Linked DNA regions of Diceros bicornis minor. The protein of the gene in region 2 purifies or fractionates together with the protein of the main gene of each other region. This does not show direct contact. Links are inferred from orthologs where the notes say so. Each region holds a gene or a part of one and is shown on either strand. Other genes may lie near its edges. The genes, in order: PFDN5 and PFDN4.

Region 1 (15,616 bases), on a different chromosome or scaffold from region 2:
CCCTTCCCCATATAGTACGCCACCCACTTCTCACAACCACCCCAGGATGGAGGTCGGAGAGAGATTAACCATCCCTTTGTGAGAAGACGAGCCTGAGGGAGAGGGTGGCGGGCCAGCTATGAGCCAGGAACCCTGACCCGAGGCCCACTCCTGAGTGCCACTCCCAGCTGGCCTGGTGGAGATGTGTGTGTGGGGCACCTCTGTCCTCAGGTCCCCACCTTGTCATAGAGAGTGCCCACTATGCTGTCCTCTTCGCTAGTGTCCAGCAACTGGGCCAGCAGCTTGTGCCCGAAGTGCAGATAGATGAGTCCCGCACTGCTCAGCTTGGTCTGCCACGGCTTCCCAGGGGACAGGGAGCTCATGGTCTCTGTGAAAGATCTGAGGAGCACAGGGAGGCGGGGCTGAGGCAGAGCGGCTCCAGTTAGCCCACAGCGTGTGCGGGCACGCAGGCACAAGTGGGGTGGGGAGGCTGGGGAATACTGCCGGAGTTGTAGAGGCTTTGGCTCCTCCTCAGGGGTCAACATGGACCTTGGCTTGGAGTCTCCATTCGTGCACTCACTCCACAGTGGTTAACTCAATGCTTACCACATGCCAGGCTTTGTGTTTTAGATATTAGGGATAAAAAAACAGACCTGTCCCCCAAGTTCATCTGCTAAAGGCAGACAAATGCAGACAAGCAAGCGAATGCTCCAGCTAGTTTTAAACAAGGAAAAGGGGGGAGGGGATGAGGAAAGGGTTCAGGAGGAGAGCCTTCAGGTCATTCCTGCAAGATGAATTAGTGGGTGTTCACCAGACAAAAGGGTGAGGGAGAAAAGGCATTCCAAGTAGAGAGAACAACACGTACAATGGCTGAGAAACAGGGCTCCTCATGGAACTGCAAGTGAGGCAGCTTGGGTGTGAGGAGTGAGTGACAAAAGATAAAGCTGCAGGGGTAGGCAGGGGCCAGATCATGGCAGGCCTTGTACGTCACACTTTGGAGTTTGAACTTTATCTGTGGGTGATGCGGAGCCATTGAGAGATTTGAAGCAGGGAAGAGCACTGTGCCAGCCAGCATCCTGGAGAACAGATGCAAGGAGATTAGCTCCAGATTACCAGGTCCAGGTGAGCGAGGAAGGCAGGAGTTTGAACAGCAATAGGACAGAGAACAGGAAAAAGGTACGACAGTTGTTAGGGAAGTAGAAACTACAGCTGTAATTTCTAAATACCGGTCCGCCACAACCACCTAGGGAGCTCGTTTTTTGTTTTAATGACTTATTATTCAATATTGAGTAAATACAAAAAATATAAGATATTTATAAGGTATAAAGACTAATGACAATAACCCGCCACATAAGGTTCAAAAAGAGGCAAAACTAAATAAATTGTTGATGGAAACAGACATATCTGGTAAACTATACACAAGAACAAAGGTATGATGAACTCAAAATTCGAGATATTGCTACATCTGGGGGAGGAAGGGGATGCAGCAGGGAAGCGGCACAGGTACAGATGCTACGGTAATGGTAATGTTCTAGTTCTTAGGCTGGGAGATTGCTTCATGGGTATTCATTTTATGTTTTACATTCCAGAAATGTTCAATACATTCTTCTATGTGTCAAAAAGTGCGTAATTTAAAAAAATGTGTATAAAATCATTAGGAAAAAGGAAGTAGTCAATAGTCAAGTGCCACAAAGAGGTCAGTTAAGGTGAGACCCTCAGTCAGCAACCCGAGTTTGGTGTTGAGGTCACTGGTGCCCTTTCCATGAGCATTTCCAGTGGCGAGATTGGGAGAGAACCGGCTGAATGAAGGAATGAATTGGAAGGGATGTGGAGCCAGGGTCAGCTCTTCTTTTGAAGACTGGCTGACAAGTGAGGGTGAGAGATTAGGCTGTAAATACCAGGAGGGTTCCCTCCCAACATCATTTATGAAAGTAATATGTATACTTAAAAAAGAGAGGGAGGGAAGGAAGGAGAGAGAGAAAGGGAGAGAAGTACTTAGAGACTTAAAATAAAACCTCCTCATAATCCCTGAGCAGTAACCGCTGTAAACAGTGTGGTTTATGTGCGGAGGTTTTGTTTTTTATTCACTCCTTTGTTTCCAAGACGGGAGATGCTGCTCAAGCAGAGTTTTAGGCTGTAGGCAAGGAGAAGTAGAAACACTGGTGGGAGAATTGTGATGCGGAGTCCCAGAGGAGAAAGCAAGAGATTGGAAAAGGGGCAAGCAGAAGAGAGCAGTGTTTCCTGAGCTGGAAGGAGGGAGCTGAGGACGTGCATGCAGAAAAAGCTCAATTTCCTTTGAAAAGTTAAGAGGCAGGATCACACACTGAGGGAGTCTGATAAGGTAGGGCTTGAGGAGAGGGGAAAGGATTGGAACGGTATTGTGGACAACCGAGTACCCTTGAAAAAGAAAGATTTCCCGATGGAAGAGTGTAAATGAAGCAGAAGACCACACACATCTGAACGGTCAGCAACCAGCACAATCACGCGGGCCCAGCAGTCTGAGGCCGGGCAGCAAAGGCACATGAATAGCTGGGGTACTAGGGGGGGTGATGATGGTGCTGGGGGGTGAAAAGCCTGACTGAGCCAAGGAAGGTGAGTGGGGAGGGGCCTGACGACTGACAAGGGAGGCCGGGACAGATGCCAGGGCTCAGGGAGCTCCAAGGCCAGGTGGATGGGCCCGGAGCAGGCAGAGCTGGAAGGATGGAGGGCTGTAGTCCCATGGGACTCAAGAGTTTGCTTTCAAGGATGAGGCAGGCACATCCCTTGGCTTACACGGACCACAGCAGCGGACGGCTGAAGTGGAGCTGAACTTGAGGAAAGTTCAAGGAAGCTAAAGACATGGAATCTGGAAACCCACCTTTGGTGATGGTCATATCGATGTCTCTGAGGATCGTACTCGCCGCCCACGTCTACCACGATGTCACAGGAAGCCAGTTTTTCGGGGTCTCGGGTCCGCACAATCTCTGCGTCCTGCAGGGGACACAGGAGGTGAGGGACTGCCAGGGGTCGCGCGGGTAGAGGATTAACTGGGTGTCCAGAGGAGTCGCGCGGGGAGGGGCGGTGCTCGGGCCCGAGCCACCACAGGGCCCTCGTGAGGGGCGGTCCCAGGGTCCGTTTCCGCGGACCGTACCTGGTACTCGGGCAGGAGGCGCAACAGCGCGCACGCCAGGGCCTCGTCGCAGTGGAAGGTGCCGTTGTGGGTCCCGATTCGGAGCGGTGCCATGAGGTGGCTGCGGGGTCGTTTGGGGGGCGGGACGGACTCGGGGCCGAGCATGCGGGACCGGGCCTCCAGGGGTGGCGGCGGCCGCAGCAGAGGCAACAACCCGCGCAGGAAGCGGCAGCCCATGCAGCCTCCCCGCGGGGGAGGGGGGACCCGGAAGCGGAAGCGGACGCGCAGCCCCACTTCCGCTTCTCGGCCGTTGCCACGGTAACCGCCCTGTAGGGAGGGCACGCTGCCGGGGTTCCCGAGTACGCAACTCCCAAGCTTATCAGGCTCCGGCGAGGGGGGAGGGGCACACCCTCTCGACCACCGCCCCCAGCTCATCACCAGGCCCTTGCTTAACGCAAGAAAAGACCGACATTCTGTCCCGCTGGCACGTTTATTAGCAAGAAACACAAGACCCTTCACTTTCCCCGACTCCAGGAAGCCACGCCCACAAAGTCCCAGGCCGCTAAAGCGGATGCCTCTGCCCCATTTCGGTAACAAGCTCTCAGGCCTTTGCGGTAGCCTGAGATGCCCCCAGGGCTGTGAGCTGCTGAATCTTCTGGCTCATCATCTCCATGACCGCTGTGAAAAAGAAGTCAGAGCCTGGTCAGGAGCTAAAGGAGAGAACCTAGAGGTCAGGAAAAGTGACAGGGACGTTTAAGGACAGGCAGACAACCTGCTACAGTTTGTTAATAAAACTTTTAACAGTGATCCACTGTGGGGGACACACACTAACACAAATTTAGAGTCTACACTGTGTCAGTCAATATAACCACTGGGATAGGAAAATGAACAAAATACAGTATTCAATGAGTCAGACATAACCAGGAAATTATAATGTGGAAAAGATTTTTGCCTTTAGAACAGTGGTTCCCAATCCTGACTGTGTAACAGAATCACCTGGGGAGCTTTTTAAAAAACACTGACCCCTGGAATCCCCCTCCCTACCCCCCGGGTGATTTAGTTGGTTTGGATGAGCCCAGGCTTTCTTTTCAAACCTCCTTGGATGATTCTAATGTGCAGCAGCCAGGGTTGCAATTGCTGGTACTTAGTTAAGGCTTTTTTTCTTTTTTTAATTTTAATTTATTTTTTTCCCCCCAAAGCCCCAGTAGATAGTTGTATGTCATAGCTGCACATCCTTCTAGTTGCTGTATGTGGGATGTCGCCTCAGCATGGCCAGAGAAGCGGTGCGTCGGTGCACGCCCAGGATCCCAACCCGGGCCGCCAGCAGCGGAGCGCGCGCACTTAACCGCTAAGCCACGGGGCCGGCCCATGGCTCTATTTCTTTCCTGTGTTCACTTACATGTATCTTCTCCCCCATTCCATCCTAATTAATAGGAGCTCCACAAGGGCACAGACATGATTTTCTTCCTCTCAATTTCTCAAGCACTGTCTCCACGCCGCCCCACCCCCAGGAATCTACAAATAGCAGGTATGTAATGCACAGAATCTAGAGAATAAACACATCAAAACACCAAAGAAAAAGACATGGTTTTAGTCCAGTAAAGGGGACACCCCTCTGGTTCACCTGCAATCCATGTTCTCTATCATAGATATAGAAAGGGTCAAGCAGTGCCCCCAGGCCAACCTTACCCTGTTTCATGGCATGCTTCTCCTGCAAAGCTGGCTGGATTTTCTCCATTTGCTTGGTGAGGAAGTCTACCTTCCTCTTGAAGAAGTCCTTGGCATCCTCAGCTGTCTGCAAGGTCAGAGGTGAATGAGGAGCTAAGAGGAGACTCCAATGCTGCACTCTAGTCTTCCCCTAAACTCCCTTTCCCCGCTCACAGGAGTATGCACATGCTTCCTCCCACTCACCTTCTCTACATAGTAGCCAGTTCCCACATCGATGAGGACGTGTTCCACATCATGCAGCTTCCCAGGGACATACATCTGAGAAGCAAGGATTAAGGGAAAACTAGCCCAGCAGGAGTCATGATTCCCTGTCACTAGCCTGCTTGGCTTTCTAAGACCCTCCTTCTCTAAAAATCTCCGAGGCACAGGGACTGAATCATCTGGAGGCCCTAGAACTATACCTATAAACTCCAAATGGGGAGAGACAGAGAAGCTGGTTCCTTGTGGAGAAAATGACATAGGCTGGAACACTTTTACCCTGATCCCATCTCCCACCTCCAAGCAGTTCTTACAATTCTTCCCATTAGCCCCTCCAGAAAGACAAGACATAATATATTCTCACTGCTGTAGAGTGTGAAAAGTGAAAAGCCAGCCTCACTTCCCCTCAGCACTCCCAACTATGAACTACTTAATTCCTGATGGATTTAGTGCTCATTATCTAGCCAATCCCTACTACACTGCTATTCCTGTGTTTCTCTTTTAGCCTGTCAGTTCTCAGACTAGTCTCCAGGTGCCCTATTGTCATAACTTACTCAAGTAAAACACTCAACAGGTAGACACAACCCAGGTTTCTTAGTAACAAAAGGTTAGGAATAAGAGCCACAATTAAGCTGAAATTGAGGATTAATAAACAGAGCCAATCCCTTTGTTTCTATATCCTCTTATTCTATTGCTTATGTCTTCTAAGTTATTAGTAAAAGTGTAAACCACCAGTTTTATCTCCATATTAGATTATATCCTCAAACAGCAAAAGGAAATAATCACACCTCAATTCTACATATTTCCTGCTCACAAGGCATTGACTGGATGTTGGCCCCAGGTTAGACAGGAGAGCTACGAAGTGTGTATAATAAGAGTGTTCTCAGAACCATGGGGGCACTCTGGAATAATCAAAACTACCTCCCACCCCTTTTGGGGAGGGGGGAAGGAGAAAAGGAGAGGGCAGGGTAGCAGTTCGTGTGGAAAGGATACAGAACTCGTCAGTGGGACGAGTAATTCTTTCCCTGTAAAAGCAATTAAGACAAACATCTGGGGAAGGTGGGCACCTCCGACGTTAAGATGTTAAAAGGGAACTCCAACATGACACAGCGCCCAGAGATAGTATGAAAAGAAGGGAAACGGGGAACAGGAGCAGAGGAATGTCCTGTACATTTCAATGCTAGGCAGGCACCATGCAAAGGGCTCGTGTAGCGGCAGACAATATGTAACGGATTGCTTTCTCGTCTCGGGTAAGGGCAACTGGATTAGGAGGCGGGACGAGAGAGGAAGCCGGCTCGCCACACCCCCCGGTTGCCTTCACACGCCTACCCCATACCCTCGTTGCTCCTGTTCAGGACGTTCAGACAGTCCTTGGCTTCCACATACTTGGTCTGTACCACCTTGAGCTGAGCAATGGACGTGGACAAGAACTCCACTTCCTACAGAGGACGGGAAAGAGGGTCAGAGTGGGAACCTGCGGGTCCTGGGACCTGATGGGGGTTTCACCTGGGAAGAGAAGCTTCCCAAAGTGGGGAGGAAGGGGGGCGAGGGAGTACGCGTGGGCAGGAGGGATGCGAGGGGGGAAAGGGCTGTCTCTGGGGCCCGTCCCCACCTGATCCAGCTGGTTCTTGAGCATTTCTAGCTGCGGCAGGTTCAGCTCCGTGATGTTAACCGACTGCGCCATGTTGGGGAGGAGAACTAGCGAAGCGGAAGGCGGCTCTGCGAGCAGCGCTCTAGCCTTCCCCTGCGCGCCTCGATGGCTGCGCGGGAGGCCTCGCTGCGCCAGACATCTCTATGATCCCCGTCCCGGGAGGGGCTGAGCTTCTCAGACTCGCCTTTGATGAGAGAAGGTAGTTGTGCGTTCTCTGCATAAGACATCCCAAGCCTAGCGTAGTAAAATTGTGGCAAACAGGACTCCTGCCCTCAAGGAACTTAAAAATCTTAAAAGTACTCAGGCCATAACCGCAATTTTGCAAAGCAATGTATGCTACTCCACGTGGATGGTATAAACCCGGTGACTGAGAGTCAAGGAAGACGCCTGGGAAGTGCGGGGTCAGGGGGAGTAGCGTCGTGAAAGTGGTGCTGTCGGCATGAAGCTGAGGAGTCTAGGGGTGGAGAGCATGATCAAGAGCCACGTTATCAACGGACGAGTACGGCACAAGGTTTATTAATCAATGCAATGTCTTACCGTGTGCTAGATGGAGGGATAGGGGAGAGGTCTGTGCTTCTGAGGAGCTTAACAATCTCTTTGGGGAGACAGAAACCATGCATAAACAGCGGAGCCCCACAAAATCCGCTGCTGAAGTGCACGGCACCGACCAGTGTAACAGCTGTGTGTGGGGAGAGAACGGCCTCTAACGTCCAACTTTGGGAGTTGGGGGGGGCAACTGAGGCATTAAAGCTAATGTCACTGCCAGGACACCCGAGGGCAGGAAGACAGGACAGAAATGATGGTGCCTGCTCAGGACGCTCCCAGTGGGTCTCTCTCTACCCTTCCTTGGGCCTCTGTCCCCACTTAAGGCATTTTGATGCCCCTCTCTCCTTCAGCTTTGTCTGCTGAGGCCAAGCCAGGCCCAGCTTTGTCCTGTGGTTTTGCCTTTCTCCCCAAGGCTCTCAGACTTGAACTCCTGTGAGCTGTTCTCATCTGTTTATAGTACCACATGGTCGGTGGGGGGCAATAGTCTTGTCTTCAAATGAATTACACAAAACAAGATTTAAATAATGTGTCTTTATTACATTAATGTTAAATGTTTCATATAAAACACTGGGGAAAATCACTTAAAATTTACCCTAAGGGTTAAATCTAAGTTTGGAGGTAGAACAGTCACATGGCTTCTATCAGCGATAGGACAGTTCCAAGGGATCACTGCAGGAAGACGGGCAAGCCATAGGCTACAGGTGCAGCCCCAATAATATACTTGAGTCGGGGAGCCTGGCGGGCCTGGTTGACATAGTAGAGAAGGGGGGCTCCTGGGCCTGCTCCAAGCCAGCCCTGCAGCAGAGCCTCCGTGTAGCGGTCAATGTCACGGTCAGTCACATCCCAGAGGTTACCCAGGAACAGGGGGCTGGGAAAAAAGAAGGAAGAAATACAGAGTAAAGGCTCTAAAACAGAATACACAGGAAAACATGATTGGCTGGTGATGGGTGGGTAGAGAGAATTGAGCCAATGAGGAAGTCCCTGGGCCCATAGTTCTAAGAGGAGAGAAGAGGGTAAAGGATTAAAGTCCCAGGCATGCCAGGGGACTAGGATGGGAGGAAGGTGGGGTACAAGAGAAGAAGGATTTAGGGTTCAGACCTGGGAAGGAACCTGGGGTGGGGACCTAGGATGGGCTTTGCCTCTCGAGACTCACCAGCCAGCCATGATATACTTGAGCACAATGCCAGCCCCCTCCAGGTTTCCATGCACAGCCAGGGCTGCACTGCTGCAGCCAAACAGGAGGGCCACTGCTCGGCAGCTCAGCCGCAGGACAGTCTGTCCATCCAGGAAGCGGGCACCAGCCCCATGCCCTGCATAGCTGAGGCAGAAGGAGGTGAGAGGAGCCTGAATGAGCAGTATCAGGCCTCTGCTATGTCTCCAGAGGCCTCCTGACTCAGCCAGGGGCTCTAAAGCCCCAAAGCAAACCATGATGATACCCTCCTCTGGGACAGCCCCTCTCCCTACCTCCCTGCCCTAAGCACTCACATATATAAGTCATGCTCTGTCAGGGCTGCCTGCACCTGTTCCGGACTCGGCACCTCCCCGACCACCCCTTTCCAGCCTGCTTCACTGCAGGGAAAAAGCAGGAGTAAGAAGAGGGGCCACAGAGCAAAGAGGGCAGAAGGAACGCTAGGGAGAGGGTGGGCTGCAACAGTTCATTCTGGAGAAAAGGACATGGTGCCTGCATGTTGTCGCCACCCTTCTCCACCCCCTTTCTTACTCTTATCCCCCCGACCTGCTAAAATGGGCTCGAAATTGCTCCTCTGTGTTTGACAAGTTATTGTGAGGGTTCAGGACGTAGAAGGTACTGCGCGGATCCACCCCTTGGCTCAGCACCGATGAGGCCCCAGCCTGAGGAAGAGACAGTGGTTATCAGGATCCTGGTCTGGCCAGAGGGCTGCAGCCCCACAAACTCTAAGCCCCTGCCATGACTGATCCATTCCTAAGACCTTTTCCTTTCTTCCCAGGTCTCTCTGCATTTTCTTTCTTCAAGTCCCACCCAATCACCAATCACCCCCATGCCCCACTCCCTGAACCCCCAACCTCTTTGATGATGGAGTAGCTGAGGAGGAATCGGAAGGAGGGCAGCCGAGTGACAGACAGTGCCCGGAGGCTGGGCATGCTCTCCCATGGTAGCTTCTGCAGGTCCTGGGCAGAAAGCACTGAGAGGTTACTGTCCCTAGCCAGGTATACGCAGGAGTCAGAAGGGGCGTGGGGGTGAATAGGTGCCCACTGCCCACCAGACACTGCCCCTCGGGCCCCAGCTCCTTACCTTGTCTAGCACTAAGACAAGGTGCCTATTGCTTGGTACCGCCTGACCCCGTAGACGCCCTATGGCCTCACTCAGGAGCTCGTGGGCTCGCTCTGGCTGGGCAGGGCACAGCCCACAGGCCAGGGCCTGCACGTCCTGAGCAGTGAGAGTACTGGCAGCACTGAGCAGGATCTGCAGGGGCACAGCGGTCAGTGAATGCCACAGCTCCAGCTCCGCTCACAGTGGCAGGTGGGAAGGAGTTAAGTCTAGCTTCTGCCCCTTCCCTGATTCTCAACTCACTTTCAGCAGAGTGGGGTCAGGATATTTCCAGCCACATCCCTGCAACAACTCCTGTAGGCGGGAGGCCTCCTGGGCAGGGCCGGGGTCCTCACTGGATGGCAGCAACAGCCCCCTCCAGCAGCCCAACACAACCTTCTCCAGCGATGTGACGAGAACCTGAATGTAGAACGGAACTTTCAGGCAGAGAGGGAGCCGAGTTTCTTTCCCACAGGCACCGACACCGAGAGGAGGAAATGGGTTTTCCTGTGTGTCTCTGTCTTACATTTCCTTCTGCCAGTCATAGAAGGCAAGAAGCTAGAAACATGTTTCATCTGCTGCGACTTGGGGGCAGTACAGATGAGATGATTTATTACCTATCACTATGTTTTGACAAATACGAACAGGTGGGCAATGACAGCAAAACTGTGAAGCTGACACTTGGGCTTAAATCCTTTTTCTTGTGTGTATCTTTAAACATTCCATTGTCATAACTCCTTCAAGTTCTGGGCTCTTGTCTCAAGTCCTTCCCAAGTGACATAATTTTTTATTTAGGCCTACACTTCCAGAAAGGGCTAGAGGTGGCTCGGCACTGAGCTGGGACCCGTGAGAGAGGACATTGGCACTCCAGATCGTTCCTAGGGCAGCCTGACCCCACCCCCCCTGGGGGCACACACCTCCATCCTGTGGTCCAGTCCGAGCCGCCCTGTCCACCATTCTCGCTTGTCAGTACAGCTGCTGTTCTCTTTCTGTTCCTTCTGGATGGCATCAAACTCTTTCAGGGCCAAACTCAGAGGCAGCTTTGGGAGACGGGGCTATGAGATATCTGCTTGTCCATGTGAGCACCATCTCTCCACCCCCCAGCCACAGAATGTGAGCGGCTTGACCAGAAGCCCACCCCAGCCCAACTTTGCTCCCTAGCCCAGGACACCTACCTCGCTCTGGGCAGTGGGGATCTGCACAGTGACTGGGGGACTGTCTTTTTCCAGCCGGGTCAGCAGGAGGGTGTTGCCCACAGTTCCAGGCTGGAGGGTGGCCAGGGCCAACACACACACAGTCACCCCTGACACACAGGACATAGCCAGAATCATTTCAGCTGTCACAAGGAATTCCCTTCCCTGTCTTTTGCATTCAATCCCTATCCTGCACTCAAGACAACTCCAAGAAGTCTTTTGTGGTCACTGGAGTGCAAGGTGCTCTCCCTTGCCCTAACAGCTCCCTATGGAAAGAGACCATGTCTTGTACTTCTTTGTGTCCCTCGCTGAAACTAACAAAGGGCCCTGCAGAGTGAGGCACTCACATCCCCTGTGAACCTGTATCATGTGAGCGTAGGAAGACCCTGGACCCCCGCACTTATCCTTAAAGAAAGACAGTTAACTTGCTGGTAACTCAAAGTTAAGGTCAAAAAAAGAAAGACTTCCAGATTTACAGTATGTCTGTTTGGTGAGAGTAACAAAATGACTAATCAATGAAAAGGTATGACGTGTCCTTCTATAAGGATCAGAAAACTACGTGAACTAACTGATGCCTTCAGCACCTTCACCCAACTCCTCAGCAGGAAGATGCATGAAAGGACAGGCGCGCCAGCCGGAGGCTGCCACCATACCACTGGGGATCAGAGCCAGGCGCTCCTGGAAACTCTTCTTCTCAGGCTGGGGGAAGTGGCCAGATCCTGAAGCCCTGAAGGAAAAGAGGCGCTGGATGCGGGCCAGGGGGACGTCTTGGAGCCTCTCCTGGAGGCTCAGCCCCTGCAGCTGGTCTTTCATATCGAGCGATCCTCGGTGCTTCTGGGCCTTGCTGCAGGCAACACAAGTAGGGGTGAGTTCTCCCTCCTTCAGAGTCTGGACTCTCCCTTCAGTCTGCTCCAGCACAAGCCTTGCGGATGGTGGGCACTCACCTGAGCTGCCTGTGGAGGTGGGTGAGCAGCTGGTGGCGGGAGGTGATGGAGACAGACTCGGTGACGAGGCAGGCAGTGGCAGAGGGGTCCCGGTGGCCCAGGCACAAGGCCAGGAAGCGGCAGAGGTGAGCGTAGAGCCCACTGGGAGGGCAGTGACTGACCCCACGGAAAGCGATGCTCAGTGAGTCACAGATGGAATCCAGGGTAGAGAGACCTGGAGGAAGGTCAAGACACTCGCTGCAGTGAATCCCCTATTTCCTAGCTGACAGGAACTTTACACAAAGGAGTCCCTAGCTCATTTCCCACTTGGAAAATGGCAGCTAGCATTTATGAAGGGCAATGTGCCAAGCGGGGTGCTGCACAATTTACATGCATCAACTTAATCCGTCCTCCCCAAACCCCATTTTACAATTAAGATAATAGAAGCTCAGGGGCTGGTCCCGTGGCCTATTGGTTAAGTTTGGCGCACTCTGCTTTGGCGGCCTGGGTTCAGATCCTGGGTGTGGACCTATACTACCTGTCGGTGGCCATGCTGTGGTGGCGACCCACATACAAAATGGAGGCCGACTGGCACACATGTTAGCTTAGAGCTAATCTTCCTTAAGCAAAAAAACCCCAAAAAAACAGAAAATAGAAGCACAGAGAGGTTAAGTGACTTGCAAACAGCTAGTGGAGAGAGTGCTGAGATTCAAACCCAGGTTCAAAGGCAACTAGAACAAGATGGGGATCCAAAGCCAGAACCAAGGACAGACTGGAAAGGCACTGGGATCAAGAGACCTAGAGACTCAGCCCTCTCCAAATGACCAGACCTCGGTGGTCAGCATATTCACCAATGGCTGCAGGTGCCGAGGGGAGTTGGAGCCAAGGACCGAGATCCTTGTCTCTCTCCTTGCCTGGGCCCGGGATGGGCAGCTCCTCTTTGCTGGCATCCCGTCTCAACACCTCACATTCTTCTATGGCTGTATCAGGCCCTGCCGCTGGTGCCTTCCCACCTGGGGAAAGAACATGACTTTTCTGTGGAGTTCCCTCCTCCTGCCATCCCTTTTGTTCTCCCTTCTAGGATCCAGTTCCAGAGCCAGCAAAAGAACTTTCTTTCTGTACTATCTTTGGCACCAGTCATTTCTTGTGCTTTGGCCCCAGGGCAACCCCCCAAAAACACATGCACCTTCTATCCCCCACCCTTGCCATCATACCTGAGGCTGAGTCTTCCCCATCAGAGCCCCTGAGGATCTCAAAGCTCATTTCCATCCAGTTGTCAGTCAGTTCCTCTTCAGGGATGGTCCTCATGATCTCGGGGCCCAGCTCCTCACAATGTCCTGATGCCACCTTCTTGGCCCTCCGGCTCCTGCCACCGAGGCCAGGGTGCCCAGGGGCACTACCTGGGACAGCCACCGCATCAGTCTTCGAGCTCGGGCCCTTCCTAGCTCGGCCCCGGCCCCGGCCCCGGGAAGCAGTGCTCCGTCTCTGGGGCCCCTCTGCAAGCCACGCCTCAAGTGAGACAGGATCTTCCAAGTCACTGTCATCACTGAAGTTCACCTGGGATGGGTGGGAAGGGAAGAAGGGCCAGGGGGTCTTCAGTGACAAGACATCGTCTGCCAGCAGGTGGCGCTGTGGGGGCACCATCACAGAGGCCTTTGGGGAAGATTTAAGAATTAACCTCCCATGTACACCCACCACACTCAACCAGGGGCAGCAACTCTTGGGTGTGGAAGGAGGGAACAGAAGATGAGGAGGAAGGATAAAGGAAAGGAATGGTAGAGTTAAGGAAAGTGCCTTCTGTCTGAAACAAAGGTAGACTTGGAACTAGGCCTTGCCGTGTGTAGGGATCCTGCAGATAACCAGAGAGCTGAAGGTCCCATCAGCCCCTGCAAGCTATTCCATAGAGACCCCTGCTCTGCAGAGCTCCTCTCCAGGACCACCCCCACCCGACACCAACACCACCTAGCCACAGTCCCACCTCACCTTGAGGCGTGTCTGGATCCTCTGTTGTACCCTGGGGGCCTTGGGAACCTCAGGCTTGCTCTGTGTAGGGCAGACTTCCTCAAACACGGTGAAAGGGACACGAGGGCCAGCCTGCCTGACCCGGCCCGGGGGCTTAGGTGTACAGGGTGGTCCTCCACCTTCCAGACCTTTCAGAGAGGTATTATGGAGGGGTGGGGTCGCAGAGACCACCTGCTGGCGCCCTCGTCCAGAATGCTTTTGGTGCCGAGGCTTAGGGGGCTCTGAGCCTGGGGGATTCTTTACCAGTGGTGGTTGCCAGCCCCAGGAGCTTGCAAAGAGCTGGGTAGTGCAGCAGCTGAGGCCAGCCACCTTTGCAAGGGCCTGAATCCAGAGTAGGCTGGCTCGCCAGGGCTCCAGGTGGGGTATCTGTGCTGCCACAAACTTCAGTCCTGACTCCAAGACCTTCCCCAGACTCTTGTTTGATGGCTGGCTCAGCCCCTCCAGTGCCAGCTGTGTGTATGCCTGAGCCAAGATCTCATCCAAGAGGCTTGGGACAGGGGAGGGGGGTGCTTTGTGATTCAGGGAAGCTTGCAGAGCTTGGGCGAGGCGCTCAGTGGCTGCGGGGCAACCCTTCAGCACGACCTGCAGCAGATCCAGACCCTGGGCCTGATGGCCCAAGGCCAGCCTCACCCCTGCTGTGACCAACACCCAGCGCAGACAGACTGTGGAGAGGACAGGGCTGGCACAGAGCAAGCAGTCACAGGTGGGCGAATGGGTCAGGAAGCTGGGGCTGGGCTGGGGCTTCATTTTCAGGATTGGCGAGGAGTTAGTAGAAGGTGCTATGGGGCCAGGCTCCTTGGCCACAGTGGCCACCAGCTCCAGGGCAGGGCCTCTTAGGAAGGGCTCCTCCTCTGGGAGGTCCGGAGGACAGGGGACTCGGGCCTGTTGCCTCCCCTTTTGTGGGAGGACCTTCTTCACAGAGTCTGGGTGCTGGGCTAGTCCACCAAATTCTGCGGAGAGAGCAGAACAAGAATTACAAAACTGGGAGAAATGAATAACTCCAAAGAGAAATGGTAGTTATACTACTAATGCCAGCTACCCAGAATTTTTCATTTTTTTGATAATAATTTATTTCAAAACTTTTTTCCCTCATCTGGCAACACAGATCAGGTTAAAAACAAGCTTGTAAATCTTTTAAAACCTGAGTGAGATTAAAAATTTTTGGTATATATACTGGATCAATGCCATTTGTAAGTTCTGTTGTTTCATGAACTCTAAGAAAGGACAGTAGATTACCAGATTTATAGTGGAATAAAATTTTTCTAGCACTTAGAATGGATAGGTACCAGATTCAAAAAATCAGAGTAACCCAATGTGTACATATATATGTATTATATAGGTATATATATAATCTATGTATGTATTTATTGTAAAACCATATATAGTGTAGTGATTAATAATGCACAAATCAGTAAAAATTATACATATTTTAAAATAAAATGTTTTTACTGTGGAATATATTTAAACCATCTTAAAATTCAGAAGTGTAAATGTTTATTGTAGAATAAAAAGCATGCTTGACATTAAAAAAAAAAATACTGGGAGAAATGATACCAAGAGCTTCCTGAGCTACCCCCAGGGCCCACCTCCTAATATATGTGTTATTTACTTACTAATTACTCATATACATTACTGTATGAACATACTAAATATTAGTATGGCTTATTATTTTTTTGATAAAATCCCTAATGTTTTTTTCCCATCCAACAATGAATCAGTACAGCCCATGAAGCCCCCATAGCTGCAGCTCAGAAGGCTGCATGGAGCCAACCCTGATGGCCTAGCAGTTAAAGTTTGGTGCAGAACCACACCACTCTTCTGTCAGTAGCCATGCTCTGGTGGCAGCTCACATAAAAGAACTAGAAGGACTTACAACTAGAATATACAACTATGTACTGGGGCTTTCAGGAGAAAAAAAAAAAGAGAGAGGAAGGTTGGCAACAGATGTTAGCTCAGAGCAAATCTTTCCCAGCAACAAAA
Region 2 (15,725 bases):
AAAATTCACACTACCACCCATAATTAAGAATAACAACTTACAGTCAAAATCTGGCAGAAATTGTCACTAATTACGAGGACCCTGGAGCTAGACTTTGAGAGAGAGCAGTAATGAGTGCCTTGTTTATAAGAGAGAGCAGCTTTGCCCACATGAAACGCATGAAATTTCAGAAATTCCTTCCTGGCTAAGATCAAAAAAAGGATTCTTCCCAAACATGACAAAGAAAATATGAAACCATACAAATGGTATATCCATTAATATCGGGAACAAAAGAGGAATGCCTAGTATTGACAATGTTATTCTGTTAGAGATCTGACCAATGGTTCTCACAGTGTGGCCCCCAGATCACGTGGAAACTTGTTAGAAATACAAATTCTAGGGCTCCACCCCAATCTTCCTGAATTAGAACTTCCTGGGGTTGGGCCCAACAATCTGAATTTTAACAAGCCCTCCTGTGGGTGATTCTGATGCATGCTAAAAGTCTGAGAACCACTGCTCTAAGACAAGAAATAGAAACAAAATGTACGGCTATTAGAAAGAAGATAATTTCTACACATAGAAAACCTAATTAATAAGTAAAATTACAACATACAAGAAAATTATCTTAAAATCACAAGTCTTAGCATATCACTGTTTTCTTAAAATCCCTGAAAGGCTCCTCTTGCCCTAGGACAAGGGTGAGCAAACTACAGCCCAGGAGCCAAATCTAGCCTGAAGCTGGTTTGGGAAGTTTTACCGGCACACAGCCATGGTGTTCATTTACACATCTTGCTTTCATGGTAATTATGACAGACACCAGGTGGCCCACCAAGCCTAATATATTTACTATCTGGCCCTTCACAGTAAGTGTGCTGACCTCTGCTAAAATAAAGTCAATTTATTCAACTCAACTGACAGAGTTCTTCAAGATCTGGCCACATGTTCAGATGCTCCCAAATCTCCTGGCAATTAAACATCTTTCAGTTCTATCTTTGTACCAGGATCTTTTTATGACCACTCACTCACACACGTTGTCTCTTCCGTCTGAGCAGTCCCTCCCAGTTTCTGGCTAAGACTTGCTGATTTTTCAGTTGTCATCTCATCGCTTTCCCAGGGAGCCCCTCGCTGAACCCTGAGTCTAGATCAGTATAGACCCCCTGCTCTGTGTTCTTAAAGGCAGCTCTACACTCATAGCACTTTCTACTCATTATTAGTTTTACTTGCTTAATTTTCTCTCTTTCTATCTAGACTATATACTCCACGTGAGCAGGGACCTGGCATGTTTCATTGTCCCCTGTGTCCCTAGTACATGGTAGAACCCGACAAAAGTAAGCACTGAATAAATATTTCTGGAATGAATAAATAAATAAATAAAAAAATAAAGGTTCAGTATGGGGGGAAGATGATGTTCACAATAATGACAAAAACCACAAACCATCTTGAAATACTTCCAATAAGAATATTTTAGGATGGTTAAAATAAAAGAGGAATAAAATTACAAAATTTTACTATAAAAGAAAAGATTTAAACATAAGGGCAGACACAATGAATGTTTCTGCATGGAAAGATCCAGGGGCAAAAGTATTACTTCTTCCCAAGGTTTATTAAATGTAGGTTTAATTCATGGAAAGTTTTGCTTTCTACGACATTTGAAGAAAGGAGACTATCATTTTAAATAACATTCAAGTTAATTAAGCACTTTTTTAAAAGATTTAGAAAATGTTTAACTGCCATCAGCTTCTCACACACAATGTGATTGCCCTTCTCATACACAGCTGGAGGGCGTGTGAATTGGAAACTAATTTCATACGATGTCTCAAATGCCTCAAATGTTGTCGATGAATCCATACTCTGATGCGGTAATTAATTACGCTTCTCTCATTATTTCCTTAAAAGAATTTCCTAAATGTGAACAAAGATTTAGGTATTAGAATGCTCGCTACAATATTGCTATGGGGAAATAGCGGAAACAAGTTGATGTTAACCACAGGAGGACAGCGAGCTGAATCAACGTCCTCCAACGTGCCATTAAACAGTCATCAAAAATGCTGCTTTTAAAGCACGTGTGCCTGGCCCAGAGCAGGCTCCCCGTGAGTATCTGCTGGACAAATGAATGTACACTCAACGGAATGAGAAAATACACCTACTAGATGTTAACTGACCAAAATGTGAAGCAAAACTACACAGAGAAAGAGAAGAGAACATAAGAGAAATACATGAAAATGTTCATTATGGACGATCGTCTTTGGGTAGTGGGATTACAGGTGATTTGTCTTTCCCACTTTACAATATTCTGTACTTTCTAAATACTTTTAGTGTAGAGCACAGGCTCTGGAGTCAGAAGATCACTCCCTCTGTGTCACTCTGAGCAAGACCTACAACCTCTCTAAGCCTCTTCAACTCTACACTGGGATTAATGGCACCTATCTCATAGAGTCATTGTTAGGATTAAATAGAATCATGCTTGCAAAGCATTCAGAGCATGCCTGGGACATTGTGAGAACCCACAAAATATTAGCTAGAATCCATTATCTTCCCTACACCTATATTAAATGTTCTTTATAATGATATAAACCCTAATTTATGAGTTAGACTTCATCACTCAGGGAAAGACATCAACACACCTTTGCTTCTTCTAACATTTCTTGTGTTTCTTCTTGAGAATGGCTAATGAAAACATCCCCAATTTGATAAGGTATCATTAAGCAGTCATCATCTGCAAGCATGATGTCCTCACAAGCATCTTCTAAATTTTGGAGTTGTTTCTATAAACACAAAAGTAAACAGCAATGAAAAATATATTCAAAATACCCTGATAAGAGGCTAAAGCCAATATTAATTTGAGGACACTGACCCTCTGAGGGACCCTTTCACAAGGCATTATCACACTAAAATAAGACGTTCTTAGATTTTTAGATGACATTTCATAAGGAAGCACTTAAGAGCTAACTAACACACCGTCCTCTAGATATTTCCAGATTGCTGGAAGAACCTGTGGTGGACAGCGGGCATCTGTGGCCACTCAAAATGTCTCCTACTTTGTGAGCTCTGCCTTCCTAGGGAAGAGCGAACACAGAAACACAAACGGACATTTCTCAGCCTCGCTTGATGACAGGATGAAAGCAAATAATAACTTCAATCCCAGCAAGCAAATGCCCTCGAACTGGACTTCAACTCAGGAGCTGCCTGAGGAGGGAGGCTGGGCACAAGGCCCCTGGTTTACAGGGGCGGGCAGCGGCGGCGGCCCCGCGCTCCTAGGTCTGAGGGGCAGCTTCCTCACTGGGGAGGAGGAGCCGGCTCTGGGATCAGTGGAGACAACAGCAGTCCCGTCACCAGCCAAGTTCTGAGATGTGGTCCTGGAACCTCAGCCTAGAGTCACACCCCTCAACAATCTCTCCATTACCTCACACCCCTTGAACAACGTCCTTCCTCTTAAACTAACCGGCGTGGATTATGTCATCCACAACAAAGAGCCCAGAGACACAATCACATATTATTGAATTTAGTGTTAAAAAGCTATAGTATAAAGAACTTTTATTTTTCTTCAATAAGATACATATTTTCAATACCTTTTTTACTTCTATTTCTTCCTTCAGCTCTGTGATTCTACTTGTATTCCGTGCAAATTTGTTTATCTTTTGTTGATCTTCAAAAGTAACATTGACATCTTCTGCAGCCTGAAAAAACATTTTTTGTAGCATTAAGTATAATGGAGAAGTTACAGGTTAGCTTTTTATATAACTCTGAAATAACTCAATAAACTGTTTGCCCTCACATAGTCAAGAACCACAAGATGTAAAGAATACCACAAACATAGGCCTTATTAATTTTCTGCTCCACGAGCTTAAGATTTGTTCCTAAATCTATAACCTCTTCTGATATTCTATGGAATAATGCCTAAGCTACAAAAACATTTCAAAGATAAACATCAATTAAGAATAAGTCCTCAATCAAGTCAGCCAACTTTTGGCCTAGAGCAGAAATCCTGAAGTTGGAACATTCTTTCATCAAGATAACCCAGGGAGCAAAAAGTGACGTGGTAATTAATTTTGGTAAATGCCTCATACTAGTTTATTCTCTCAGAGTTAAAACTTGCTTAAGCTTGTTGACGCTATCAGAAATCAGACAGTTTCTATAATTTTTAATCTAACTGATACACTGGCTAGAGGGTCACTATGCATTCCAGTGGCTATATTCCACAAATAGTAAAAATTATATTTATTTTAATGTAGAATCTGTTTACATGTCTTAATTATGAGTAATGTGTAATTTACCGTAAAATGATGAATACTGAATGTTTAAAAATATTTAATGTGATTAAGTTTGTAAATAAAATTAGAGTGGTTAGATGACAAAATATCTATGAAACCATAAAAATAACAGCTAACATTTACTGAGCTCTTACTACATGTGAAGAACTTTCTAAGTGCTTTATCATCTCTGCTAATCCTCCAATCAATCTTAACAAGCAGGATCATTAGTACCACTATTTTACAGAGGGAAAAACTGTGGCATAGAAAGGTTAAATAATCTGCTCAAAGCCACACAAAGGATAAGCAGTGAAGCTCGATTTCAACCCAGGTAGTTGCAACTCCAGAGTCCAGACAGGTCCACGAGCTCTTAGAAGTTACAGGCGAAAGTGTGTGTGCATGAAGGGCAGCAGGAAGCTCTTGGTTTTCATCAGACTCTCAAAGGGGGACCACATATTTAGGGAAAAAAAACAAATTAATACCAGACTCTCTTTCGAGTTTCCCTTCATTTATAAAATAGGAACAAGAGCACTTGATTGTAATTTAAAGGAGGGAAAGATAGATATAGTTTCCACAAGGACTATTTTGGGCTCTTTTGCCAATAACAGCAATAGGTTCACGATACCCACACCCCACCCATCCTTTCACCTGGTCTGTTGCCACTCTGACTTCTCCAGAGCTTGAAGGGCAACTTGCTGTCTCGGGCAATAAGGGACTCAGCGGTGAGAACATAAAGGCAGACCCCTAGAACTCAGCCCTCCCCTGGCCCAGGCTCTCTTCATCCAACTAACAGTTTCACATGCGTCAGGCCCATCATCAGAGACCCAGAGGACATCCTGAAAAATTCCTTTACATCACGATATATATAGCTTTGAATGTTCAACCTTGTGCCTAGTTTTTATGAATACAGAAGACGGGAAGCACTGAGCTACACGACAGAAACCAAAGAAAGTCCACGTGCAGATAACTTGGTATTCAAGACGTTTTGCCTACATAAGAGCTATCAATTCCCTAGGCAAAGAGGGAACAGAGAATTCTAAACAGCTCCTGCTTGCCTACAGTTTAAATACTGAGCCCCTGAAAACCTGAATATGTATTTACAGATGCATTTTTCACCGTGAGGTTTAACGGAGTAATTCCCGTGAAAGCACCTAGCACAGGGCTTGCCTGATATATCTGAGGCTTAACGCACTGTCTCTGGATTTGGATCTAAACCATGCTCCATCAGACTCACACACGCCCGGTTTCTGAAAAGCTGTTCAGGGAATGTGGCACCTGCTTTCTATCTTTCCCAAGCAGGCGTTTCCTGTCGCAGCCTCACCAGACAGCAGCCCCAGCACACTTGGCCCTGGAGTTCATTTCCTTAACGGTGGTTTTCTCCCCGGGGTGCAGGGCTAACATCCGCGTGTGAGGGAAATACGCACGGGTTAAACTACGTGCCACCCAGTGGAGTGCTGTTTACATCGAAAAGTGAGACGTCAGCACCTTCCAGGACTAACAGCAGTGGCTTCCATTTTAATCTCACTGATCTACATTGCCTGAAGCATCATTTTGGCACGGAGAAGGTAATTCTTAACTGAGGGTCAGCGGACATTGAGAGGTCCATTTACCCCCTGAAATTGTATGCAAGATGGTGTGTATTGTATGTGCATTCTTCTGGAATAGTCTTCATAGCTTTCATCAGATTCTTAAAGGGATCCACACCCCTAAAAGTTAGGAACTCCTGATTTAAGAGAAGCCACATGTAGTTACTTCCATTCACAAGTCTTAAGAATTCAAGAGGAAGGAGTTATTCTGTAGTATTTGAGGCAGCACAGGTGGTAGAAATAGTAAAGTGGATTCAAATCCAAGTGAGCAGGAGCCTTCAGCAAATTACAGAAGCCCCCCTTATTCACGGGAAAATACGTTCCAAGACCCCCAGTGGATACCTGAAACTGCGGATAGAACTGAACCCTATATATACCATGTCTTTTCCTATACATACATACATAGCAAGATAAAGTTTAATTTATAAATTAGGCACAGTAAGAGATCAACAACAATAACTAACAATAAAATAGAACTGTAACAATATAATGTAATAAAAGTTATGTGAATGTGCTCTCTCTCACTCATTTAATATTTTCAGACCGCAGTTGACCGCAGGAAAGTAAACCCCAGAAAGTGAGGCCATGGATAAGGGGTGACTACTGTACAGTACTCAGTTCTTCAGAGCCACCTCAGGTTTGTCATCTGTAAAATGGGGAAGCTGGTTCCTACCTTGCCAGGATGATAAAATGAGCACCTAGCATAGGTCCTGGGGATGGAGTCACCTTTCAATAAATGATAGCTCGTGCCGGCCCCTGGCTTAGCGGTTGGGTGCGCGCGCTCTGCTACTGGCGGCCCGGGTTCGGATCCCGGGCGCGCACGGACGCACTGCTTCTCCGGCCATGCTGAGGCCACATCCCACATACAGCAACTAGAAGGATGTGCAACTATGACATATAACTATCTACTGGGGCTTTGGGGAAAAAAAGGAGGAGGATTGGCCATAGATGTTAGCTCAGAGCCGGTCTTCCTCAGCAAAAAAAGAGGAGGATTAGCATGGATGTTAGCTCAGGGCTGATCTTCCTCACAAAAAATAAATAAATAAATAAATGATAGCTAAGTGCTTTATTTCCTGAATAATGTTTACCAAAACTCATTACAAAGGAAGAACAGACCCACATCTACAGGAAAATCCTGCTAGGCCTAAGCGAAATATAACTGCTCAAGGTTCAAGATGAAAATCAAAATTCCCTGAACCCTGACTGTACCCTTTTCTTGAGAATCATTATCTCATGGGATTCTGGGAGGAAAGGGAACCATACTCCATCACGCCCCACACTGAGTTTGGGGATTACCAGCAGAATCTGGACTGACAGCTGGGTCCCTCATTGCCCTAAAAGCCTAGCAGGAGGAAATTCTGGGCCATTTCAGTCTGCTCTTATTTTTGTTTTTTAAAGGTATCTACCAAGTCTCTGTGATATAAAATTTTGCTTTGTATTCTTATTCACCTTTCATGCCTACAGTGATTCATTTAATAATTAGTGTTTCCTATATGCCAGGCACCGTGAAAAGAGAGCCACAGTCCTACCCTCATGAACAAAGGCAAGCGTACATTCTGGTGGAGCAGGTGAGCAAAAAATAAGGGGAACCAGATCGTGCTCCATGGTGATACGTGTGACGGGGAAAGAAAAATAGTTTAGGAGCTGAAAGCACTGGGAGTGCTTCACTGGGAGTGAAGGGGGCATCTTTAGAAAGGAAGGTCAAAGATGGCCTCTCTGGGGAGGGGACAGCTGTACTCAGGACAACGAACAGAAATCACAATACAGTCCCTCTCATGCCAAGAACCCGTTCTTAGAAAGCAGAACTTTGGAGATGCAAGGACTGGATCATCTCATCTAAACATTCTCACCAGGAAAGTCATGACCTGTCGGGAGGTAGAATGTGTTACAAATGTAAAATACCGCATATTGCAAACAATTTCTGTTACAGGGCTGGCCCTATGGTATCTCACTCTCACTCACTGGCCTGCCTAAATGTTTCCTCCTAGAGTGGGGGGAGGTGAAGCGTCCAGTACACAGAGCTAACCTATCAGAAACTGTCCACAGCACTGCAAACGTCCACAAGAGGACGCTGCACCTGTCGTGCCAGTCTTACCAAGATACAGAAGACAATCCTTGCTGTTTTGGCCACAACCTGCCCCTCTGTAAGTCTACCCCTTAGGAGAGGAGGTTCATCCTCTCCTCCCCCAATTCCCTGCCACTCTGACCTCCTTTTTATTAAATGCACGCAGGGTCTTTGCAGGAGATACTCTCTCTCTAGAACGCCTCACTCTCTTGCCAACTTTCCTTCCCTCTCCTTCCGTAATCTGAGAGATCCCACCTTCTCAGATCACAAAACAGACCTTATTCCAGCCTTCATTTCACAAGCACTTTTTTTTTCATAGTTCTTATTGGCGTTGGAAACTTGACAGATTTCCATGTGACTATTTGAGTAATGCCTGCCTCTCCCCCAGAGCACCAGTTCTACCGGCTGACAAGGCAGTAAGAACTTCATTACCGCTCACCATGGTTACCTCCCTCACCTAAACCCGAGACTGCGCCATACTAGACGCTCAAAAGTTTGTTCAATGAATGAAAGGAAAAAATGTTGGTAATCAAAAGTTTTGCAAAGTCTAGTATTCAAATCATTCTTTTACCGTTTCCTCAACATTTGTCATCTCTCTGCACTTCAGTTTCCACACCTGTCAAAGCGGATGAACCACAACTAGTATCTTCTGTGGAATTAACAGCATACCTAACAACAGAGGGCCCAATTTAAATACAAAATAGAGGCCGAGTGAATCTCACAGTTCCATACCAGTGTGAATCACCATGGCCCTGAACCCTACTCCGGTACTCAATCAGAATTTGTGGATGACAGACCAACAGAGTGAGCAACTCATCCCGGTTTGCCTGCGGCTTTCCCAGTTTTAGCTCTCCCTTAATCTCGGGCAAACCGGGATGGCTGGTTGCCCTACACCAGAAGCAGGTGGCTCAGACAATGTCAGTGATGCAGAGTAAAACAGCCAAAAAAGCAAGTTCTCATGGGGGGTTTGAAATGGAATGAAAGCGAATATACAAAACCTGGAAAACAAACCCCTTCAGCTCGGGGACTCTCATCAGACATCATGGAAGTTAAAAACACAGGCTCTGGAGTCAGAACGCCTGTGTCGATTTAAATCCTAGCTTTGCCTCTGTGTTTGTTTCCTCATCTGTAAAATAAGGATAAAAACAGTATCTCCCTAAAAGCAATATAAGATCAAAATAATGCATGCAACCCGCTTACAACTGTGCCTAGCACACAGTAAACCTGCAATAATTATCACGTTGTTATTTCCTTGGCCCTCCCTATTTTATTTTTCTTCTACCTGTATATTTTTAAGCATCTGGGTAGACCTACTGGATTATAAACCCTAAATAGAAGTTTCGCTTGCTTAGTGAGATAAAAGCAGCGCTTTGGAAAAACAAAATAAAACCTGAGTTTGAATTCCAGCTCCGCTTCTTATTAGCTAAGTCACTCTGAGGCCACTAACCGCTCTGTGTCTAAGTTTCTCCGCCTGCAAAGTGGGGGGCGACCCGTGTCCTCGCTAAATTGCTGGAAGATCCGAGTTAATAAACGGACCGCTTCTGGGCCGCGGCCCACCGTCTATCATCAATGTTCACGGTTTCGGCCCGGAGGGCGCGCGGGCCCCTGGGCGTGTCGGGGCTGGGCACAGGGGGTGCAGGTCCTGCTCTGCCCCCTCCCGCTGCGTGACCTTGGGGAAGCGGCTCCCCCTCTCTGGGCCTCAGCTTCCCTACTCGCACAGCACGGGACAGTCGCACCCATCCTTGCGAACACGTGAGGGTTAAATGTGGCAACCCAGGTACGCGCCAGCGCAATGGCCCACCGCAGTCAATGGACCTTCGGCTTCACACACCCCAAGGACAAGGCCAGGGCCATCCTCAGCCCCGCGAGGGGCGGCCCCGAGCCCTCCCAGGGTCCCGGCCCGGGCGCTCCGCCTCGGCCGGCCGGGGGCCTACGAAGCCGCCCAGGGCGCCGACAGGCCTCGCCCGGGGCCGCCCTCAGGGTCCGGAGCCGCGGCCCCGGGCCCCCGCCGCGCTCCGGGGCTGCGCAGCCCCAGCCCCGCGGCCGGCCCCCCGCGGCCGCGCATCCCGCACCCCGAGCGCCCCGCTCACCGCCTTCTTCATGGTGGCCGCCATCTTGGGACTGCACTACGGCGCGGGGCGGGGAGGGCCGCGGCGGCGCGCTGCTGCCCCGCGCTCGCCCTCACTCCCTGGCGGCCCGGGACTCCCGCGAAACACACACCCTCGCCACAGAACCCCCGATGGGATCTTCGACCAATCATCCCTCACTTCTGGGACTCAGGGGGAAATGTACCCTGGAAGGACTTGGTACATGCCAATTAAAGGGACAGGCGACTCCCTGTGGGCCGACAGAAACTCGGGGGTGTGGCGAACGGCCGCAGGCTGCAGCGGCGGGCAGCAGGGGGCGCCCAGCACCGCGGGGCAGGGCCGGGGGCGAGGCCACGAGGGGCCGGAAGGAAAGCAGTCCCGCCAACCACGTAAGAAATCGACCTGCCTAAAAAGAGCTGAGGATGAATGACCTTGGCGATAAGATGTGAGATGTATGTGCCCTGATAATTCAGATGGTGTAAAGGAGGGAGTACTCCTATTAATTTATTCAACATATTATTGAGCAGTTACGGTATACTCTGACACTTGTGCCTCTCGATTCTTTTTTTTTTTGTCTCAGGATCCCTTTAAACTCTTAAAAATTATTGAAGAGCCCAAAGAACGTCTACTTATGTGGGTTATATTCGTCGATAGTTACCATATTAGAAATTGAAACTAAGAATTTTAAAAATGTATATTAATTCAGTTAAGATAAAAAAATTCCATATTAATATAAATAACATTTTAAATTAAAAATAACTATCTTTTCCAAGACAAAAAATAGAGAAGGGCATAGTTTTACATTTTTGCAAATCTGATGTCTGGCTTGATTGAAGGTTAGCTTTTCATATCTGCTTCTGCATTCAATCTCTTGCGATATGTTGTTTAGTTGATGTATATGAAGAAAATGTGGTCTCACACAGATATGTAGTTGGAAAAGGGAGGCCCTCTTGGATTCCCTGAAAAGATCTCAGCGACCCCAGGGTCCACGGACCACGGTTTGAGAACTGCTTTAGACAAGTGTCCTTTCTCAAAGTCTCAATTTCCTCCTTGGTTAAGCGGGGGAATGGAACTCTGTAGCACCCTCTGCTTTCCCTACCAAAGCACTTAGCCTTGCGTGAGCATTGCCTGTTCTGTCAGGGTCAGAGCTCCAGACTCCAAGCCCTTTGCATTAGGTCTTCACAGTGTTCAGCTCCTATACGCTCAGTATGTATTCGTTGGATAAAGGAGTTTTTTCGGGGTTAAATCTTTGCACCGTCTGGCACATTGTAGATGCTCCTCAGTGACACTCATTTAAGAGCTCACAAACGACAGCAAAATTTAAAGGCACTGCAGAAACAGACAGCGGAGGAGAAGTGCAAAATCATCCCAAATGGTGCCGAGCGCATGAAGGAAACATGTGAGGTGCTGAGATAGAGAACAGAAGGGAGTGGTGGGGGGGGCTCTCTGGAGGTGGCTATTAGGCTAACCAGAGTGGGAGGAGCCAGCGTGGGAAGAGGAGAGGAAAGGAGGAGTCATTGTCTCTTAGGGAGGAGGGGGATGGCTGGGCTGGATCAGCAGCGCAAAGAAGTCGTCTTCATCTGTTTGGGCTGCTGTAACAAAATACCACAGACTGGGCGGCTTAGAAACAAGAGACATTTATTTCTGACAGTTCTGCAGGCTAGTAGTCCGAGTTAGGGTACCAGCGTGGTCAGGGGAGGGCTCTCTTCCTGGCTTGTAACTGGCACCTTCTCTGTGACTCACGTGGAGAAAGGGGTGAGGGAGCTCTTTGGTGTCTCTTTTACAAGGCCCTACTCCCCTTCACGAGGGCTGCACCTTCATGACCTGATCACCTCCCAGGGGCCCCCCCCTCCTAATACCGTTAACATCGGACACTAGGATTTCAACGCAGGAGTTTTGGGGGGACACAAACATTCAGACCATAGCAGACCTTATGGCTTTCAGTCAGATATTCTGTGAGTCCTTGGCCTTCCGTTTAGCATCATAAGATGGCTGCTGCTTCCCCTAGCATCAGGTCCTCATCCAAGAGCGTGCAAAGGCAGAGGGGAAAGGGGCCGGCGCCCCCCCCCCCCTCGTGGCCTCTGCTCCTCTGGCTTGATCTCACTGTCCTCTCCACTGTGCTCTCGCGCTCTCTTGCTTTCTCTCGCTCTTGAGGAGGAAAGCATTTCTCAGAATCTCCCAGCCCTCTTGCCCTTATGTCTGTCTTATGCCCACTTCAGTCACTGGCAAAAGCAGCTGGATTAATGATTACCTTACACAATTAGGACTGATTCCTTGAGGTTGGAAACATGGCTGCCTAAATAGGAAACTGGGCTGGGCTTCTGAAAACCAGGAGGAGGAGGAAGGACTCAAGGGCTCTTGGGTGTCTTCTATGAGGGAGCTCTGGGTCATCAGATGGGGCTGTCCACGAGGCCTGGGTACCATAGGGGCTGAGCAGAGTCTCCTGGCATGGGGGAGTGTCGTTTAATCTGGACAGAAGGACGGCGGGGTGACCCCTGGCGACCCTGGTGCTGAATTGGCTCCCTCCGGTTCAGAAGTCCTCCTTCTCGTTCTATTTCCCGCCATCCCTATCCCCCCTCCCCGCCCCAGCCCAGGGTGTCCTTTGAGCTCCTCTCTTTCCTAGCAGGAAAACCAGTTCTGCATGTACAAATGGGGACTTTCAGGTCTTCTTCTATGCATCCTCTCACTCCTTAATATTGAGCATTTCCAACCTCTGTTTCTGGTTCTTCTCTAGCTGGGGATTGTCCCTACCTTTTTGGACCAGCAAAAGAAAGAAGCTTGGGGGAACACCTGGAGACCGCAGGTCAGTAAGGAAAGTCACCAATAACCACTGGAAAATGCCATCCCCACTGAGGGTGAATGAACACACCAGGTTGAAAACTGGCCACCCACTGACTGGACCCAAGATATGGGCATTTTTGACCCACACAGTATTTTTCTTAAATTGAACCAACATATGAAAATTAGGAGATTTCACTTGACAGTACCAGATTTTTTGTTTTGCTTGAGTTTGTAAAATCAGAGTCCTGGCGACCTTAAGCCTGCATTCCTGCAGCGCAGCAGCTGCTGGTGCTGATCAGGCGTGGCCCATGCAGCCAGCAGGCCCTCCCCAGGGCCCCCCCAGATCCCCACCTGCCCCGTCCGTGTGCTTACCTGTCACGCCCTCCAGGGATGTGAACTTGTCACCCCCCAGGCTTCTGTTCTCGCAGATCTAAATGAGGAGGTTTGTGTGTGCATTGCCTGAAATCTGTAGATGCTGGTGCGAAAGAGAAGAAATGTGAATTAGACAAGGTGCTGCCCCTCGAGGAGCTTACGGTTGACACACATATGTCACCACTAATCATAGCACCTGGGCTGCAGCCCTGGGACCAGTGCTGAGGGGTCCTGGGGAGGAAGAGCTCCTGTCTCACTGGAGTAGCCAATGAAGCCTCTGGCATTTGTGGCATGTTGACTGGGAGGTTGGAATTGGCTGTCTCAAAATATGTCTCTTTACCTTGATTATTTTCTAAAAGACACTTTGACCTCTCCCCCTACTAACTGATCCATAGACTTGGAGGGTCCTTGCTAAGCTCGTTCTTATCAAAGTTCTGTTTACCAAACATTTACATTTGTAAGGAAGATCTCCATTTGTAAATGTAGCTCCCTCTCTGTACTGGGAAGAGGAGGGAATGACCTCATCTCTAGAAACTTATCAATGTAGAACACAAGGCTGCATAATAACCTTACTGTGCTTTACTGGTAATCTCCCATAACTGACTCCCCCACCCCAACATCCTCCTTTGTCTTTACCTAAATCTATTTAAGAGGAGAACCTCCCCATTTTGTCAAGATACTCAATTACCCAGTGGGTCTCTCCCATGTATACATGTTATAAAGCTTTGTTTGATTTTCTCCTGCTATTCCGTCTCGCGTCAATTTAATTTGTAGCCTAGCCAGATAGGACCCAGAGTGGGTAAAGGATGGTCTTCTTTCCCTTCAACTGGATCACGAAGGGAGGTGCAGGCAGTGGGGCTACAACAGTGACAAAAAGAGACCAACTTCCTCATCCTCATGCACCTTACATTCTGGTGGTGGGACACAGACCATACTTAAAATATAGAAGCAAGTTATACAGTATGTTAGAAGATGAGTGTTAATGGAAGTGTATTATTAATAGCTATAACAAGAACACATGAAATAACAATAAAAGACTATGTAAGTACCAGTATGAAAACTCTATGAAGAAGATACAAAGAAAGAAGTAGTAAGTATGTTGACTGGAAAATTAAAGGGAAAAATAGCTTCTATTTGAATTCACACCTAAGGTACAAAATTGTCCAGACATGTCTCGGCTTAATTTAGATTCTGTCGCAAGACGATAATGAGCTCATTTCATGGCAGTACGTGCTGAGCGGCCTCCAAAATCTGCCATGTCTGCCCAGGTTCTCGGTTCTAAGACTTAAAACGGCAATCTGGATGGGATTACCCTTCCACACCGGCCTTGAGGAGTGAGGGGCAGAGGAGCCAACCCCTTATCAGGTGGTAATTTGTTCAGTGCCTGCAGGGGGCGCCCAAGGATCGTGGTAGTGTTCCCCAGACCCAAGCCAACCAAGTCCACCTTGGTAATATTTTGCTAGAATACCAACAGAACTAATATTTTCTCAATTAAAAAAAAAAAATCTGTTTTTAAAAAGTAGAATAAATACATTTTAAAAGGACATTTAAAATCTCTGACTTAAAGCGGAAACCAGTTTCACTTGCTACAGGAGCAGATTTCAAGGGGATGTAACTAAATCTCCCCTCTGGGAGGGCCTCTGAAGGAATCGTGTTTCAGCCGAGATGTGATCAGGGGGTGGCAGGTAACAGGCCAGGGAAGGGGAGCAGGGCCAGGCCTGCACCGCAGAGCGAGTGACTCCTCACGTTTTCCAAGCTCTAGGCACCTCGTTTGCTTGACCCTGGTGCCAGCCCCGAGGGAGGGAAAGTGGAGAGAGCCTTCAGTATCACATAACAGTAGGCGATCACAGCGTGTCTAAAGAAACGGAAGAAAAAGGCTGGAGAGGAGAGAGCAGAGGAGGAGAAGGAGCCGATGCCTCTCCTCCCCTGCCCCCCACCGTGGGGGAGGGGGTAGCCTATTCCAGGGCCCCAGGGGCCTGCAGGGATGCACTGGAGGGACTGTGCACCATCCCACTGGCCGTATCCAGCTTAGGCAGCGCCTCGCCTCCAGCCACTTGTTGCCGTGAGAGATCCAGTGCGGCTAGAAGTTCCCTTTTTTTCCCACAAGAAAAAAATTTTTTAATGTCAAGTCTCCTGATGTTGAAACCTTCACTCAAATGTATTTTCAAGTTAATTCTAAACCTACCATGTATACCAGCCAGATGGACAGCGCAGGCCACCCACCCATTTGTGACCTCTGGTTAACCTCTCCATGTGCGCATCTTCTGGAATGTTCTTAGGACAATTTCCCATTCCCTGATGAATTGGGAAAAAATCCCTTAGGTTTTCTGAAGTAAAAAGCAGATACAAATCAGGGACTCCATCTCTTACAGAAAAATTTCCTCCGTAGGCTGTCTGATCACTCTCTCTCATATTCACCTCCTTCCTGCTTTGTTCCGTGACCGTCAGAATTTTTTCTGTGTCTCTTCATGACTATTGACACCCAATGGTGCCTTTAAACCTAACTCAAGTTTTAATCCGTCCTCTAAAGACTCCCTTGGTTCTGGCTGACCTCTTCCATCTTTAAATTCTGCACTGGTTGCACAGTGCAGTAAGCTACCATCGT

Evidence for each region.
Region 1: the proteins of PFDN4 (region 2) and PFDN5 purify together in Homo sapiens (affinity purification with mass spectrometry; 5 studies listed by BioGRID and IntAct, counting the BioPlex papers as one, with this or other methods). This does not show direct contact. The link is inferred for Diceros bicornis minor from reciprocal best matches to the Homo sapiens genes PFDN4 and PFDN5.

The regions. Positions count from the first base shown.
Region 1 is NC_080756.1:16,969,558-16,985,173, forward strand, and holds PFDN5 (prefoldin subunit 5), read right to left. Parts: upstream 6,734-15,616; 5' UTR 6,699-6,733; coding exon 6,627-6,698; intron 6,454-6,626; coding exon 6,351-6,453; intron 6,040-6,350; coding exon 6,008-6,039; intron 5,075-6,007; coding exon 5,000-5,074; intron 4,884-4,999; coding exon 4,778-4,883; intron 3,767-4,777; coding exon 3,690-3,766; 3' UTR 3,560-3,689; downstream 1-3,559. Other genes in the region: MYG1 exonuclease, read right to left, coding at 219-378, 2,837-2,949, 3,110-3,325; ESPL1 (separin), read right to left, coding at 7,878-8,079, 8,365-8,529, 8,697-8,780, 8,947-9,062, 9,255-9,359, 9,484-9,654, 9,763-9,918, 10,416-10,538 and 6 more. UniProt on the Homo sapiens protein: Binds specifically to cytosolic chaperonin (c-CPN) and transfers target proteins to it. Binds to nascent polypeptide chain and promotes folding in an environment in which there are many competing pathways for nonnative proteins.
Region 2 is NC_080758.1:8,631,753-8,647,477, forward strand, and holds the start of PFDN4 (prefoldin subunit 4), read right to left. Parts: upstream 6,213-15,725; 5' UTR 4,962-6,212; coding exon 4,878-4,961; intron 3,657-4,877; coding exon 3,549-3,656; intron 2,745-3,548; coding exon 2,604-2,744; intron 1-2,603. UniProt on the Homo sapiens protein: Binds specifically to cytosolic chaperonin (c-CPN) and transfers target proteins to it. Binds to nascent polypeptide chain and promotes folding in an environment in which there are many competing pathways for nonnative proteins.